Canis lupus familiaris: one gene and its partner. The protein of the gene in region 1 purifies or fractionates together with the protein of each later gene. This does not show direct contact. Links are inferred from orthologs where the notes say so. Each region holds a gene or a part of one and is shown on either strand. Other genes may lie near its edges.

What was found. The genes of interacting proteins can lie anywhere in the genome.
Region 2: the proteins of DCAF1 (region 1) and COPS7B purify together in Homo sapiens (affinity purification with mass spectrometry; 3 studies listed by BioGRID, with this or other methods). This does not show direct contact. The link is inferred for Canis lupus familiaris from reciprocal best matches to the Homo sapiens genes DCAF1 and COPS7B.

The regions. Positions count from the first base shown.
Region 1 is NC_049241.1:38,562,222-38,569,455, reverse strand, and holds part of DCAF1 (DDB1- and CUL4-associated factor 1), read right to left. Parts: intron 6,621-7,234; coding exon 6,496-6,620; intron 5,555-6,495; coding exon 4,291-5,554; intron 3,698-4,290; coding exon 3,499-3,697; intron 2,152-3,498; coding exon 2,069-2,151; intron 1,506-2,068; coding exon 1,421-1,505; intron 1-1,420. UniProt on the Homo sapiens protein: Acts both as a substrate recognition component of E3 ubiquitin-protein ligase complexes and as an atypical serine/threonine-protein kinase, playing key roles in various processes such as cell cycle, telomerase regulation and histone modification.
Region 2 is NC_049246.1:43,816,233-43,824,133, forward strand, and holds the start of COPS7B (COP9 signalosome complex subunit 7b), read left to right. Parts: upstream 1-3,669; 5' UTR 3,670-4,066; intron 4,067-7,901. Other genes in the region: PDE6D (retinal rod rhodopsin-sensitive cGMP 3',5'-cyclic phosphodiesterase subunit delta), read right to left, coding at 3,243-3,292. UniProt on the Homo sapiens protein: Component of the COP9 signalosome complex (CSN), a complex involved in various cellular and developmental processes.

The DNA of each region.
Region 1 (7,234 bases):
AGTTTGAGAGAATTCCCCCCTTCAAGCTACTATACCCCACTTCTCTGCTTTGTTTTCCAGCAAAAATACTTCAGAAGACTGGTCTCTACTCAGTGCCTCCACTTCCCTGTTCTCTCATGAACCTACTCTAATCAGACTGGCCCTGATGCACAGAAGTAGCTCCTCACGTGGTTAATAAAAAGCTCCAATTGTTCAATCAAAAGCACCTCTCAAACTCTCATCTTAAAAACTCATGAATAGTTTTTGACTCAGCTGATCGAGTCTTCCTCAAAAGAATCTTCCCTTGCCGTCTGTGGTATATTTTTTTCATAAGGTCTCCTGCTGTCTTACTGGCCATTCTCTTTGGTCTCCCTCCCAAGTCCTGGTCACATGGCAAATCTGAAATATTGGCACATCCTAGGACTGTCCCCACAGTTCTCTTCTCTAGCCTCCTTAATGATCTCATCCAGGTTCATGGCTCTAAAGACTATCAACATGTAGGTAATTCCTGTATTAGTATCTGCTATCCCAGACCTCTCTCTTGAATTCCCATTTTGTATATTCAACTGCCATTTCTTACTTGAATGTCTAATAGAAGAACTGCATGCATCCAGAATCCCAGGGCCTAGCTGTATCACTTCTCATCACCTGTGCCATGCTCAACTGGGCCCAGCCCATTGCAGGCCTCACATGCAAGTTGTCATGACACCCTCCTAACTGGAAAGCCTGCTCTTGCTCTAGACTCACATTTTAGGAACTTTACAGCCAGTCATGTGTCCTCTGCTCACCCTATAGTGTCTGCATCTCATTCACAGGAAAAGTCAAAGGTCCTAACAACAGCCTGTCAGATGCTACTATGACATGTCACCCTCTCCCCCTGACACTGACCTGAGCTGTTCCCCCTCCTCTCTCTCCCACCTCCCAAGTAAGGACTTTTCCCTTGACATTCCCTCTATCTTAAAATACTTTTCCCCCAAATATCTACATGACATCCACAATTCCTTCAAAATATTCCTTAAACATTACCCAGTCAGTGATACTGACTATCCTAGATAAAATACAAGTCCCCCACACCATCACCACCACTTCCTCTTACCCTGCTTCTTTTTCTTGGCAGCACTTACCAACAGACATACTATATATTTGCTTATATACTGTCTCCCCAGTAAGGCTTCATAAAGGCAGAGACTTAAAATTCATCTAAAACTTAGTAAGTATTTGAAAATAACTGCTATGCTAATGACATCTTTCTCGAATTGCCAGATTAGTTCATGTTTGGTCCCATATAGCTTAGAACTACTTAATTACACTTCTAGATTCTATCTACAAAGAATATCACTAAGTAATTTATTGTTGCCCTTAGGACTGTCCTTCAGTCCAGGAGCTTTGAGCACAAACAAATGGGCATAATTAGCTTGAAAGCAGGGGATTAAGTACTTACGTGAGCAATGTCTCCTTTTGTACCTATGACCCGATCCTGAGAGTGCTTACTGAACTCAACATAGTGATCTTCTGTGAAGGAATGCCTACAAACAACAGAAGTACATAAGCAATGGACCTTCAGAACATATCCACTCAACACTGAAAATAAACATGATTCTCAGCCTCCTGCCTGACCATACTCATCTCAGGATTCCCAGCAACGAAAGAGGAAAAATTGTATGTTTAATATTAAAAAAAAAAAAAATTTTTCCTCCATGTTTGACCAAGAAGACCCAAAAGAATTAATTACAGGTAATTAACAGGAGTTACTTGGTTTAAAAAAAAAAAATGGCCACACATGTCTTTGAAAGATAAAGAGTGCAACTGTCATATGTGAACATGAGAAAATACACAGATGTGCCATTTTGGATTAGTGAAGGGTCAGCTGTGTGATGGGAGTGGTAAGAATACTTGGTAAGAATATCCTGGAATTAAAAAGGATACAATCTTATTAAATATGAGCCACAGATGAGAAAGAGAAACTAACAATAACTCACAGCATTCATCTTTTCCCAAAAGGCTTCAAGTTGAAGAACTGGATGAAGGGGAATACAAATTAGGTGATTTATAGAACAGAAAGACTAGGGTTATAAAAGTAGATACATACTTCATATCAAATACTGATTTCATTCCCCAAAGTGCAGACAGAGGCTGGCTCCAAGTAGCAGATGTCAACAGCAAGGACCCATCCTAAAAGAAGAAGGAGGCCCACAGTGGGTAATCACGTTTATATAAATGCTACCTGCCCTTAGCATTTTAAAATGCAAGCTTAAAAAAATACTACTGTATTATATAGAAAACAGAAAAACTCCACAAAGAACCAAGAAATGGTTGAAGCTGCTAGAATTTCAATATGTGCACATGCAATGTCCTAAAAAAATACTTAAATTTAGGAAATACTAAATCCTCCTGACCTAGTAACAAAAAAATATAATAGTTACAAGGGTAGGGGAAGAAAAAACTTGGATGTCAAAGATGGTTCCTCCTTTCTTAAATATTTGGCTATATTATACCTCAGTCTCCCTCATCTGAAATACCAATTTGTTAGACTTTCTTAGCTAAAAACTCTTAAAATTCTTTCAAAAGAAAAAAGCCCAGGCAGCCTGGGTGGCTTAGCGGTTTAGCGCCGACTTCAGCCCAGGGTGTGATCCTGCCAGGATCGAGTCCCACGTCAGGCGCCTTGCATGGAGCCTACTTCTCCCTCTGCCGGTGTCTCTGCCTCCCCTTCCCCACTCTCTCTCTCACTCTGTCTCTCATGAATAAATAAATAAAATCTTAAAAAAAAAAAAAAAAGCCCAATAAGAGCTGAGTCTCCTTTACTCTAAAATCAAGGAAATTACCCTTGTCATCTTAATGAATTATAGACTTCTTAATGACTTATAGAAATAACAGGGCAGCCCGGTGGCTCAGCAGTTTAGCATCGCCTTCAGACCAAGGCGTGATCCTGGAGACCTGGGATCGAGTCCCACATTAAGCTCCCTGCAAGGAGCCTGCTTCTCCCTCTGCCTGTGTCTCTGCCTCTCTCTCTCTCTCTCTCTCTCTCTGTGTGTCTCTCATGAATAAATAAAAAATTGTAAAAAAAAAAAAAAAAAAAAGAAATAACCAAAGTATCAATTCCATCCACAGAATAATACTAATAAACCAGGACCCACTAGGATCCTATAATGTTTTCCTAAAAACAGTACTTTGAGATTTCTTCCTAATACAAAAAGAAAACTTCTGTGATCATAGCTAATAGACTGTTTCCATCTGAGGCAAATTAAAAAAAAATTTTTTTCACATTCACACACAGCTCCCCCTCTTAGAAGAGGATTGGTAAACTTTCACTTGAAGGGCTTTGTGAGCCATATGTCTGTGTCACAACTACTCAACTCTGCCATTGTAGCACAGTTGCAGCTACAGACCGTATATAAATGGATAAGCATGGCTATGTTCCAATAAAAGTTTATATACAAATAAAGAGCCAGCCTACAAGCCCACAGCTCACCAACCCACCTTAGAAGAATGACCTAGAACAACCTAAGAAGGGATCCTTACTCTGGAAGGTTCAAGATGTGTGATAGCCGAGTTGTGACAGTTATAGCTGGCCTCCTCCTGTCCACTAAACACATTATAGAGCTTCAATTGCCCAGTGCAGGTGCCAAGCATCAGGAACCGCTCCCGTGCTGAAAATGCACAACAAGTGAAGCCACTCTCATCTTCATTGGCTTCCCTGAACACTGAAATTGGACGGAACCTAAGCAAAAAAAAGAAAGAAAGGAAAAAGAAGAATCAGAAACAAAGAATGCACAAGGACTCCAAAAAAGAAAACTTTGCTAGAAGTCTGAAAGAAGAAACAAAACACATATGTTTAAAATTCTTCCAAAACATCACAGTGACGTTCAGTGGTTCATTTGCATTTTAAGTGAGAGAAAAGGACTTCTACTTACAAATTTTAACAAAAATCCCCATGTTTAAACCTTGCGATTCCATCATCTTATATGAAATTTGTGAAGGATCAGAGTAGGAAACAACTTGCACCAATAAAAAAAAAATAGTTTGGGAGTCTAGTTAGGCACACCATGGTGCATGGGTTCTAGAAAACAGAATAGTTATAACAAGAACACAGAGTATCCTAACAATATACAACAATCACACAAAGAACCCACGGTTGACAAAAGGGGGTATAGTTACATTACTCATGTATTCACACAAGGAGATAATCACTGGAATTTCAGGCCAACAAACAGTCTGGCATTCTGGATTCATCATTCTATACTAGTATCACCCATACACTTTGTTTTAAATAGAAGAATCATTCCAATTCCCAGGGAGGTGGCCTCTCCTTACCTGCTAAAGATAAGGTGCCTATCAAAGCACCCTCCATCCACCCCTCCATACTTTGGAAATGATGCCCTGCGGTTTAGCCTTGAGGTAAAGTTTATTGGCGCTTGCCGCCTCTGTTTTGGCTCAGGGCATTGATGAGGAGTAAAGAGAGAGAAAGGTGGGCAGGTGGCAACCGGGTTCTTGCATCGAGCATGTTGCTCTCTAAGATATTCTGTGATGATACTGTCCAGCGTAGGTGGGGACGGAAGATGTCTGTCCAATTGCTTTTTTATGGCTGGGCTTTGGCTGTAGGCGCCATGGTCCGACTTCTGCCGCAACACTCTGATTTTCCTGCCATTGCAGGGTGATGGCCTCTCTCTGATAAAACTGATCCTACCAATCAAGGGGGAACTGCCTGCATAAGATGGTCCAGGCAAAGCTAGTGAACTCTGGGGGGGCCGTGGCTGAGGATGGGCAGTGGGAGCAGGAGGGGCAGAGGCACCCACAGGAGCATGGCTGCCCAGTCGAGTTGCAATGCCATTGGCCATGCGAGGGGTTCGGGGAAGAGAGACAGGAGAAGCAGCAGCAGTGACTGGGGTGAAGGCAGAAGAATGAGAGGCAGCAGTCATGGGCAAGTCAGCCTCTTTTGTCAGCACAGTTGCTGTCTCCCCAAGCCCTTTAGAAATGAGATGGTTTCGTATCAACAGAAGCAGCTCTTTCTCAGGGAAGGAAATCCTCGATTGGGCAACAACATCTGCTTTCTGCAGTCGTGCCAGAGACACATCAGTGCCAATGAGAAGTGGCTTTCCTGATACTCGTTCAATGAGCTCAGCAGCATACTTGCAGAACTTGACATGGTCACTGCGCTTGTCCTGCAGAACAGGCTCCTTCATCAGCTGCTGAATCTGGCAGCTGCTGAAAAGAGGCAGTTTGCTGATGATCTGCCGCACGGTGCTACTGCGTGATAGGCCCACTAGGGCCTTGCAGGCCAGAGCCCTTATCTGGTCTGCATCAGTGATGGGCATCTTGATGGACAGTAAGGACAGGAGCACCTTGATGCCATTGTTGGACTGGACCACATTCCACATCTTGGCCAGGGTGTGCTCGCTGCTTTTGGGAGTCTGAGGCAGCTTTCTCCGAGGAGTTCCAGAGATGAATTTGCCAATACTGGAAATTCGGTTATCCGGGCCACACACACAATTGATAATAATCTGAAGTGCTGACTTCTGAATTTCAGCATCATGGATAAAGAACTCACCCTCAGCCACTCCCAAAATAATGCTGATACCTATGGAGTAGAAATACAAAACATTTCATATTGTTCCTCATAAAACTAACAAGCAACTTCAATGACTGTTCCAGAGTCAAAATTCAGACTTCCATTCATGTTGTTCCACTTAAAACTACCACACTGTTGTATTAAAGTACAAGAATTTTTTTGAATAAAATGCAATCAGTTCTACTACAATATATCTTCATGACGCAATACATCATATGCAGTTGTTAAATAGGGGAATGATGTCAGTATTATGTGAAAGTCACTAAGGGTTATGTGCAATTTTTCCTGGGTAAGGGGAAGAAAAATAGTAGGAATAAATTAAAACCTTTAGCAAAAAAGGGAAGAGCCCTCAGCCTGGATGTCACAGTGGCATCAGGAACCCCTTTTGCTACATATGAAGAAAGGTAAAAACAAATAGCTGCATCTCAGGCTTTCTCCCCAAAGTGGTACACCCAAGACTCACAACCAGTCACACCACTCTGCATGCTCACCTTAGCAAGAGCCTTTACCAGCCCTTCTCTTAATAAAGTATATTTCAAAAAACTGTATTTTCCTTTTGTTCTTGTGTATGATTGCTTTTGTCCATTCTGAGCTGCTTGCCAATTACGGATTTTGTTAGAGCTCAGATTATGAAGTAGTTTTAAGTTTTTTACTGTCTGTCCCAACCCATTTTTCCCACAAACTTTATTTTTAGCACAAGACTCTACAATGTATAAGGTTTTCAAGAATGAACATGTGCCATCATAGCACATGTACTACTCAGAAAACCTGAGTTCACTAACTTAACTTCCCTTAAATAAAAGCGTATGGCACAACATAGATGGGACAACGCACCCTCCACTACTACCTTCTGTTCTAATGTTGCAAATTAAGTAAACAAACATGGCCAGAATAGCAAACAAAAACAAATCCAGACCAAGCAATCACAAAAATGGAAAGGTACAACCTACCTACAGTGGAGACAGTAGAGCCAGCCTCATCCAGCACATCCACTGATTCTGCCAACTGGAGCTGGATTTTTGGCACAACAGTGAGAATAGCCAGGACATCCAAAGCAAAGCGTACAGTGTCATTCCTGGACAGGAAAAACAATTACTCAAATAGAAACTAGGATACAGCCAAAAGAAACAAGAGTTAAAAAAGAGAGAGATACACAATGGATCAGAACTACTACCTGTGTGGCTCTGTCCCTAGACATGACATCAAGAGAGGATTTGTAAGTCACCATGACATTACTTCCAAAACAATGAGAATGGAATTTTCACCACTCACGCTGCTAAGATTAAAAACAAAGGATAATCCCCGATGCTGGTAAGGATGTATAAAGACAAATGCTCTCTCAAACTTTTGGTGGAAGTAGAAATAGGACCCTCTTTTGAGAAAATAATCTAGAAATAGGAAACAAGATTCTTAAAATGCGCATAAACTTTGGTCCAGGAAATTTCACCTGGAGGAATCTGTCCTAAGGAAATAATCAAAAGTACAAACAAGCATTTAGGTGTTAAGATGTCCATTACCCCATCATTTAAAATAACAAAAGAATTAGAAAATCTAAAAGACAATAGGAATACATGAGTGTCAAATTATGGTACATTCATATGAACTACTCTGCACTGCAGACAGTTGTTTTCAAAGAACTCTAAAGGACAAAGGGAAAGGCTAAAATACAACATTAATGAAATGGAGAAC
Region 2 (7,901 bases), on another chromosome or scaffold:
AAATGGATGGAAAGGGAGTTGAGTGACTTGCCCAAGGTCAGGAAGGTCTTCTTAAGACACAAAATACAGGAGTACCTGGGTGGCTCAGTTGCTTTAGCATCGGGGACTCTTGATTTTGGCTAAGGTCATGATCTCAAGGTGGTACTGAGCTCCATCTTGTGCTTTGCATCAGCCAGTCTGCTTGAGATTCTCTCCCTCTCCCTCTCTCTCTCTGCCCCTCCACCTGATTCCATGTGTGTGTGGAGAATGTGCATGCCCATGTGCCCTCTCTCTCTCAAAAAAAGAAATAAATCTTTAAGACACAAAATGCAGAAGCCATATGGAAAATGCTGATGAATTTGAAATGATAATTTAAAATTTGTTCAACAGGGTGGCCTGGGTGACTCAGTCAGTTAAGCATCTGTCTTCAGAGTCCTGGGATGAAGTCCCTCTCCCTCTGGCCTTCCCTCATGCTCATGCTCTCTCTCAATATAACATCCTTAAAAATAAATAAATAAATAAATAAATAAATAAATAAATAAATAAATAAAATTTGTTCAACTAAAAAGGAGATGAACAATATATTGATGGAAAATATTTGCAACATACAGAACAGGCAAATGATATTAAGGCACACACACAAACCAGTAAGTAAAAAATTCAATAGTAAAATGGGCAAAAAACAAAATCAACAAGTGATTCACAGAAAAGGAACTGCCAAACAGAAGATTTTGCAACTTCTCTAACAATAATAAGAGCTAATATATAATGTTTACTAGGCATCAGGTGCTTTTCTAAATGCTTCAGCTATCAACTCATTCAATCTTCGTAACAACCCTATGAGATAAGTACTATTTTTAACCCCATTTACAGATGAGGAAATTGAGGCTGAGGTTAAATGAGTTGCTCAGGGACAACCAAGAGTGTAGGGCTGGGATTCCAACACAGAACAGCTCTACAGTCCAGAATTCTTCTTAACCACTATGCTCTATTACCTGTCCAGGGATCTAGATATCCAGGGAAATACAAATTAAAATAAGGTATCACTTGTCTAAATTGGCAAAAATATAAAAGACAGAGTCAATGTGGAACTGAGCACTGTCAACATCGCTGGTAGGAGACTCTAATGGTGCTTTCTTTTGGTAGAAAAAAACTCTTACAGAAACAGATTCAATGAAAGTTCAGAAAAACAATTCACCCAATAAAAAAGGTGGACAATAAGCAGTTTGTTTTACTAAAAGATTGTGTTTTCCTGAAGGTAGTAGCAAATTCTAGAACTCCTTTCCTTTCTCTCTTAATCCTCAGATGTCAATAAAGGCTACCAGAGGATGAGCATCCTCTTGCTCCCATGCTAACTTTTTTATGCGGCTGCTTCCCTTGAGATTTAATCAGCTCAGGTCAAACCTTCTCTGAAAGCCTGTTTCTTAATACACTAACGTCATCATTGAACTGGTTAATTCACCTGATGATGATTTCTACTCTTTTCCACATGTGTCCCTTAACCTCTTTCTCAACAGCTTCAAGAGCCCAGACTGAGGTAAGAAGTTTCTTTGTTTGAAAACCATTAAAAAGATTCTTTCTTGTTTTCAGCAGTATGTTAATTCCAATTGGACCAAAAACGTTGCTTCTGAAATCTCTCAATTCCCCAGTCTCTGATTTTACTATCTACAGTATACATGTAACTAACAATACAAATTACTTAGGGGAAAAATAAAATCCATGTCACAGCTTTTCTAAGACTTCAGCCATCCCTATTTACTTATAGGTGCCATTATGAAAAAAGACACCGAAAGGTACACGAAGCTATAAAAAGAGGCTTTTACTAAACTTTACCACGAATGACCTTATGCCTAGTGTATAATGCCTTCCGTTTTTTTTCAAAAGAAGCATAGCAGATCAGCTTCCATTTGAAACTTTTCATTTGTATATCTAAAATGTCCTGTAACTTTTTTGTTGTTGTTGTTGTTGTTGCATTTTGGGTTCTAAAATTTACTACCAACTTGCTTTCTGACTGTGAAAAGCAATTAAAATTTCCAGCGGTGAAATGGGCATCGTGAAAACACAAAGGCAGCTCAGAGAACAGTGCTTCACTAAATCTCCTTTGGGGGGGTGGGGGGAGACCTAAAGTGATGACTACAACTTCACGGAGAGAAGAATTTGAGAACGTTCCATTTTGTACGCACGGGATGTAAAAAGAGATTTAAGCTCAGCAGGAAAATGTGAAATTGGAATGTCCAGGTTTGCCTATTTTTCATCCGCATCCTATGGTCACAGACAGACACTCCATTTAAACACGAGGCTTCCTAATACGTTAAAGAGAGAAAGAAGGTTGCACAAGCGGCACCACAACAGGCCAGGCCTGGGGCAATGATTTCTAGATCCTGCTAAATCCTACCGTGTCCCCAAAGTAATCAAATAATTGCTGGACAGCTCCACCTGGTCTCCGCGTGAACCTCACAAACGCAAGCGCGCAGATACCTTTGCCAGGAGTCCCGGTGCAAAACCAAAACACCTCAAGGCATCTCACGCTCGAGTGCAGGGTCCTCACTTCGCTGGACAGAAAAGTGAAAGGCTGAGAGAGAAGCTGCCACCATCCAGTGCCTCACAAGGCCAAGAGAGTGTTAAGATGAGGTGGATCCCGGGCTTCTCTTGGCCCACCTTCCTCTCTGCTCCAGCCCTGGAAGGAGCCACAAGTGAGGCAGAGAAGTTGTGGAAACAAGGAGGGGGTGGCGTAGAGGGGGGGACGGGGGAACCCGGGAGAGTTCAGCACAAGCATTTGCATTTGTCCCACCCAAGGTCACTCGCTCCGAGTCACTTTTCCCTGCTCCCCCGGGGCCTTCCCGCCAAACGGGCTGCAGGGCTGCGAGGCCAGCCCCCCGCGCCCCTCGGCCCTCCCTGCGGGCCGCAGCCCCCCTTCTGGCCTCCGGGCGCGGGCCGAGGCTCGGACCCAAGCCGGCCTCACCGCCACGCGTTTCCGACGCCCGCCGCGTCTCCCAGCCCAATTCGGACAGGGGCTCCTCCACTCCAGCCCCCGGCTCCCGGCAACGTCTCCTTCCTCCCTCAGGACGCCCCCTGCCCCGCCTCCAGTACCCGGTCCCGCCGGGGGGACCGGGACGCCGTTCCCTCGGTCCCCTCCGTCCCCTCCCGCCGCGCTCCCGTCCCGAGCCCAGCAGGCGCGGCCCCCGCCCCCGGCCCGTCTCCTCCGCCAGCGGCCGCCCCCCAAGTCCTCCCGGCCCCGCCCCGCCCCACTCCCGGGCGGATACAGTTTGAAGCCCTTCAGGATCTCCCTGGCCCTCTCGTCCTTGGCTGACATGATGCGGCGGCCGCCGCCCGCGGCTCTCCCACGCTGGCCCGGCGGAGCCTCGCAGACGGTGCCCAGGAACCGAGGACGGAGCCGCAGCGCGGCCTGGAGACCTCCAGCGAGCAGCGGCAGCGGCCAGACCCGGACCGGCCTCTCCCTCCCCTCAGCTCCCGCTCCTGATCCCTTCTCCTTCCCCCTAGCCTCGGAGCGCCCGCCCCAAAGCCAATGGAAAGCCCTCCTCGCCGATTGGCATCCCGAGCAGCCAATAGAAACATTCAGCGGCTTCGCCGGGGGACGACGAGCGTCAGTGGGAAGGGCCCTCCCCGGGAAGTCCCGTAGGACAAATTTTTCTTTAGGTCTTGTTGCCTAGAGTTTGCCCCAGCGGAGGGTTGGCTTCAGATCTGCAGAGGCTCGAGGGGCCCGCTCCCTCCGCGGGGCACACTAGGGCGCTGAAATGACGGCGGGTTGCCCTGTGCGATGTGAGAGAGACTACATTTCCCAGCATTCCGGGGGAGTGCCCGGGGGAACCACAGATCCCATCACGCAACAAAGAGGCCCGGGGACTACAAATCCCAGCATTCCCTGCACCCTGTTCCTCTGTAACTTAGACTCCAGTGTGCCGCGCAGTGTGCGCAAATTCGTAAACCTTCCCTCAGCCTTGGGGGTTTCTGAATTCGGAGACTTGAAACTGGGCGGGAAGACCCCCTTAACTCTCAGAAGAGGATGACAGCCCACAGGGAGGTAACATCTGTTTACATGGAACTCAGAAATCTCCTGCAAATCATGGTAAGGCTGCAAACAACAAACAAAAACACTTGATTAAACCACGGAAGATAAAATGACTCCTTTAAATCGTGCTTGTTTGTTGGTCTGGGGCGCCTTTTACTTGTTTTGCAGGGGTTTCTGGTGTGCTCCTGCGTTGGGCTGGGAGAGATATGGATCGTATACTCAGACTCTCCCTACCGGAAGGGATATTAAGAGAATTTGCCAAACCACCCTCTGTTGTTTTACATACGAGGAAACTGAGGCCCCAGAGAGGCGAAGCGATCGTCCACTGGTTACAGCAACTTGGGACAGAGTTAGAATTCGGCTCTAAGTCTCCTGACCCTCAGTTTGGGCTGTTTACACCACACTGAGGTGGCGATATTTTTAGCAGCATGGCTGTGTGATTATTATTTTCCTTAGTGAAGTATCCTCATCCAGGTTGAAACACCCAGAGGTTAGGTAAGCATTCATTTTGGTGGATTTCCTGTAAGTGAAGGAGTGTGATGTTTGTTTATCTTCAGTCTAGGAAGGACTTAGTGTTTTGATTTGTTATTTGTTGCTCAAGGTGACATTTAATGTGATTTCAGGAACTAGGTAAAATTGTAGCGTAAGCTAAGGTTTCCTTGGACATCTCCTATCTCTTTTCCGAGGCCTTCCTTCCTCTTCCCGTCCCCCTTTCACCCATCTGGGCACCCACCCAATTTTTCCTTCCATGTAATTCAACAAAGAGCCTTTTCAGGTTTCCGGTAAAGGGTGAAAAGGCATTGTCACTGCCTCCAGGAAGATAACCATCTAGTTAGGAAAAAAAGGAGACTCTGCTGAGATTCAAGATGAACTGCAATAAATGTCATAAAGGAAAGGTCATCAGAATGCTACAGAGGTTCTGATGGAAAGATCAGATCCAGCTGGCAAAACTTGATGGAGGAGGTGGCATTTGAATTTGAACGATGGGTGGATTTTTTTTTTTCCTGTTAAAAAAACTTTATCTTAAAATTTTTTTGTTCATGAGGTATGACATGCAGGAAGGGCACAGTTTTGACATTTGTATACATCTGTGTCACCACCCCCCAAATCAAAATATAGAACATTTCTGGCACCCCTGTGCCCCTTCCCAATCAGCACTGCATCCTCCCATCCCGATAACTATTCTGACTTCTATTACCATAAATCAGTTTTGTTGTGAATTTCATTTAAATGTAATCATACAGTATGTACAGTAGGAGCCTGGCTTTTTTTCTTCATCAGTTGTGTGTTTTTTTTTTTTTTTTTTTTGTGAGATTCATCCATGTTGTATGTAGCAGCTTTTTTTTTTTTTAATTACTGACTAGTATTCTATTGTGTGTATCTAGCAATATTTATCTGTTCTATTGATGGGTATTTATGTTATCAGTTAACAGTTTTTGGCTTTTGTTAAAGCTGCAATGCGCATTCTTATAGGTTTCTTTTTGTAGACTGCACTTATTTCTAGGAGAGGAATGGCTGGCTTGTACAGTATGCATATGATCAGCAACAGTATGTCAGTTTTCCAAAGTGTTTGTATCATTTTCCCTTTCACCTGCAACGTAAGAAAATTCTAGTTGACTCTTATCCTTGTCAAAACAGGTTCTTTGGGCAGCCCGGGTGGCTCAGTGGTTTAGCACCGCCTTCAGCCCAGGGCATGATCCTGGAGACCTAGGATTGAGTCCCAGTCAGGCTTCCTGCATGAAGCCTGCTTCTCCCTCTGCCTGTCTCTGCCTCTCTTTCTCTCTGTCTCTCATGAATAAATAAATAAAATCTTAAAAAAAAAACCAACCAGGGTCTTAGAGGTCTTTCTAACTTTAGCTCTTTTGGCTATAAATGTGGTATCTTATTACAGTCTTTTCTTGCATTGTCTCTGATGTTGAGCACTTTTCATATGATTTTTAATTATTTCAGTGTTTTCTTTTGTAAAGTGCTTGTTCAAGTCTTTTCCCTACTTTTTAAATTGGGCTTTTTGTCTACTTATTCATACTGATTTGTAGTTCTTTATGAAGTTTGGATATGGAGTTCTTTGATACAGGCTTCAGGAATATCTTTTCCAGCTCTGTGGCTTGCCTCTTCAGTCTCGCATTGGTGTCATTTGATAATCAGAAATTCTAAATTATAATGTAGTGTAGTAGCTCAGTGTTTTCTTTTATGATTAGTGCTTTTGTGCATTGAGTTTAAGAAATCTCTGCCTACAGGGTTGGTAGGATTTTAACAGGCAAAAATAGGAGGGAAGAGCATTGCAAAAAAGGATGGAGAGCAAGCTTGAGCATAGGCCCTGGTGTCAGAGAGGGAAGGTGGAGGTTGTGTTGGGCATAGGAAGGCCTAGGGTTTTGGCTGTAAGAGGGTGGGACGAGCCAAAGCTGGAAAGGTTGGAGGGAAGCATACTGAGAAGGGATTTCTCTGCAGCCCTGGAGTCTGGACATTATTCTGGAAGAAGTGGAAGTACTGCTAGAATATTTATGAACTCAAACAGAACTTAATTATCTTCCTATTACCGCAAATTTGCTTTTTTTCCTCTGCAGCCCCATTTACTTAGAAACATCACCTCTGAGTGAATAGCCAGAGTCTTGGGTGATACCCTTCTTCCCTATCCCTGCATTCAGCTGGTCAGCACATCGGACACATTCCATAGTCTAAATGCCTCCCACCACGTCCCTTCTGTTTCATGCCCAACTGCCACTGTCTTTGTTCAGGATCTCACAATCTCTTTTCTGTACTATATCAATCACCTCAAGAGTTTCCCTGCTTCCAGCTCTCTCCATATCCAATCCATTCTTATAGCAGCTAGTGTGAGCATTCTAAAGTGGCAATTATTCACACTTCTCCACAGGTTAAAAGCCCTAAGTTCTGCCACCCCCCAGCACCCTCAAGATAAAATAATAACTCCTTTACATGGCTTATACTTTTTGTGATTTGCTTGCTCATTCTTCCATGTTCAACTCAAGCCTCGTCTCCAGAACCCTGCTTTAAATCACCTTTCTCCAGAGCACAGGCAGGAGAAGAGCCTTAATCTGTAGTTCTAGGGTGCCTATGGCAACTGGCTGTTATAGCCAGACAGGTTTGTCTCTCTCCAGGGCTGTGGGCTAATCCCAGGTAGGGACTCTGCAGTATTAAGATATTTACTGCGTATAGTGCCGTGCGTGTGGTTTATAGCACCCTTGATGACCTGACTCCAGGTCTGTAGCCCTCATTTCTCAAACCTGAGCCTTGTATTCCAGACACTCTGGGTTTCTTTTCTGCATTAGTATATGCTACACAGGGCAAGCCTCTGTGACTATGGTCAGCCACCTTTTCTTCCCTTTTTGCCTGGAAGATGCCTGTTTTCTTTTCCCCAACATACTCTCTTCTATGCTTCTAAAGTATTGTCATATCTTTCTCATAGCACTTAACATATTGAAGCTTTTCTCTTCTTCTTCTTCTTCTTCTTCTTCTTCTTCTTCTTCTTCTTCTTCTTCTTCTTCTTCTTCTTCTTCTTCTTCTTCTTTTTTTTAAAGTAAGCTTCTTGCGCAACATGGGGTTTGAACTCAGGACTGGTGATTGAGAGTTGCATGCTCTACCAACTGACCCAGCCAGGCGCCCCCACACTGAAGCTTTTTGAGGGCAAGAACCTTGTCTTCTCTTTATATAATCTACCAGAACATAGAAATTAGAACAAGACATTTTTGCATAAATCAGTGGGTTGGTGCTAGGCTCCTTTGCATCTGTCTGATTTCTGCACTCTAATTCACCAAAGGCAAATAGGGCTATTTTCCTTGTCTTTAAGACCGGAAAGTCTGTGATGTATACTTTAAAGGAACCAGCTTAAGTGTTCAGCTGTGTAGCATTTCTTAGCCATCTTCCAGGAAAGTTG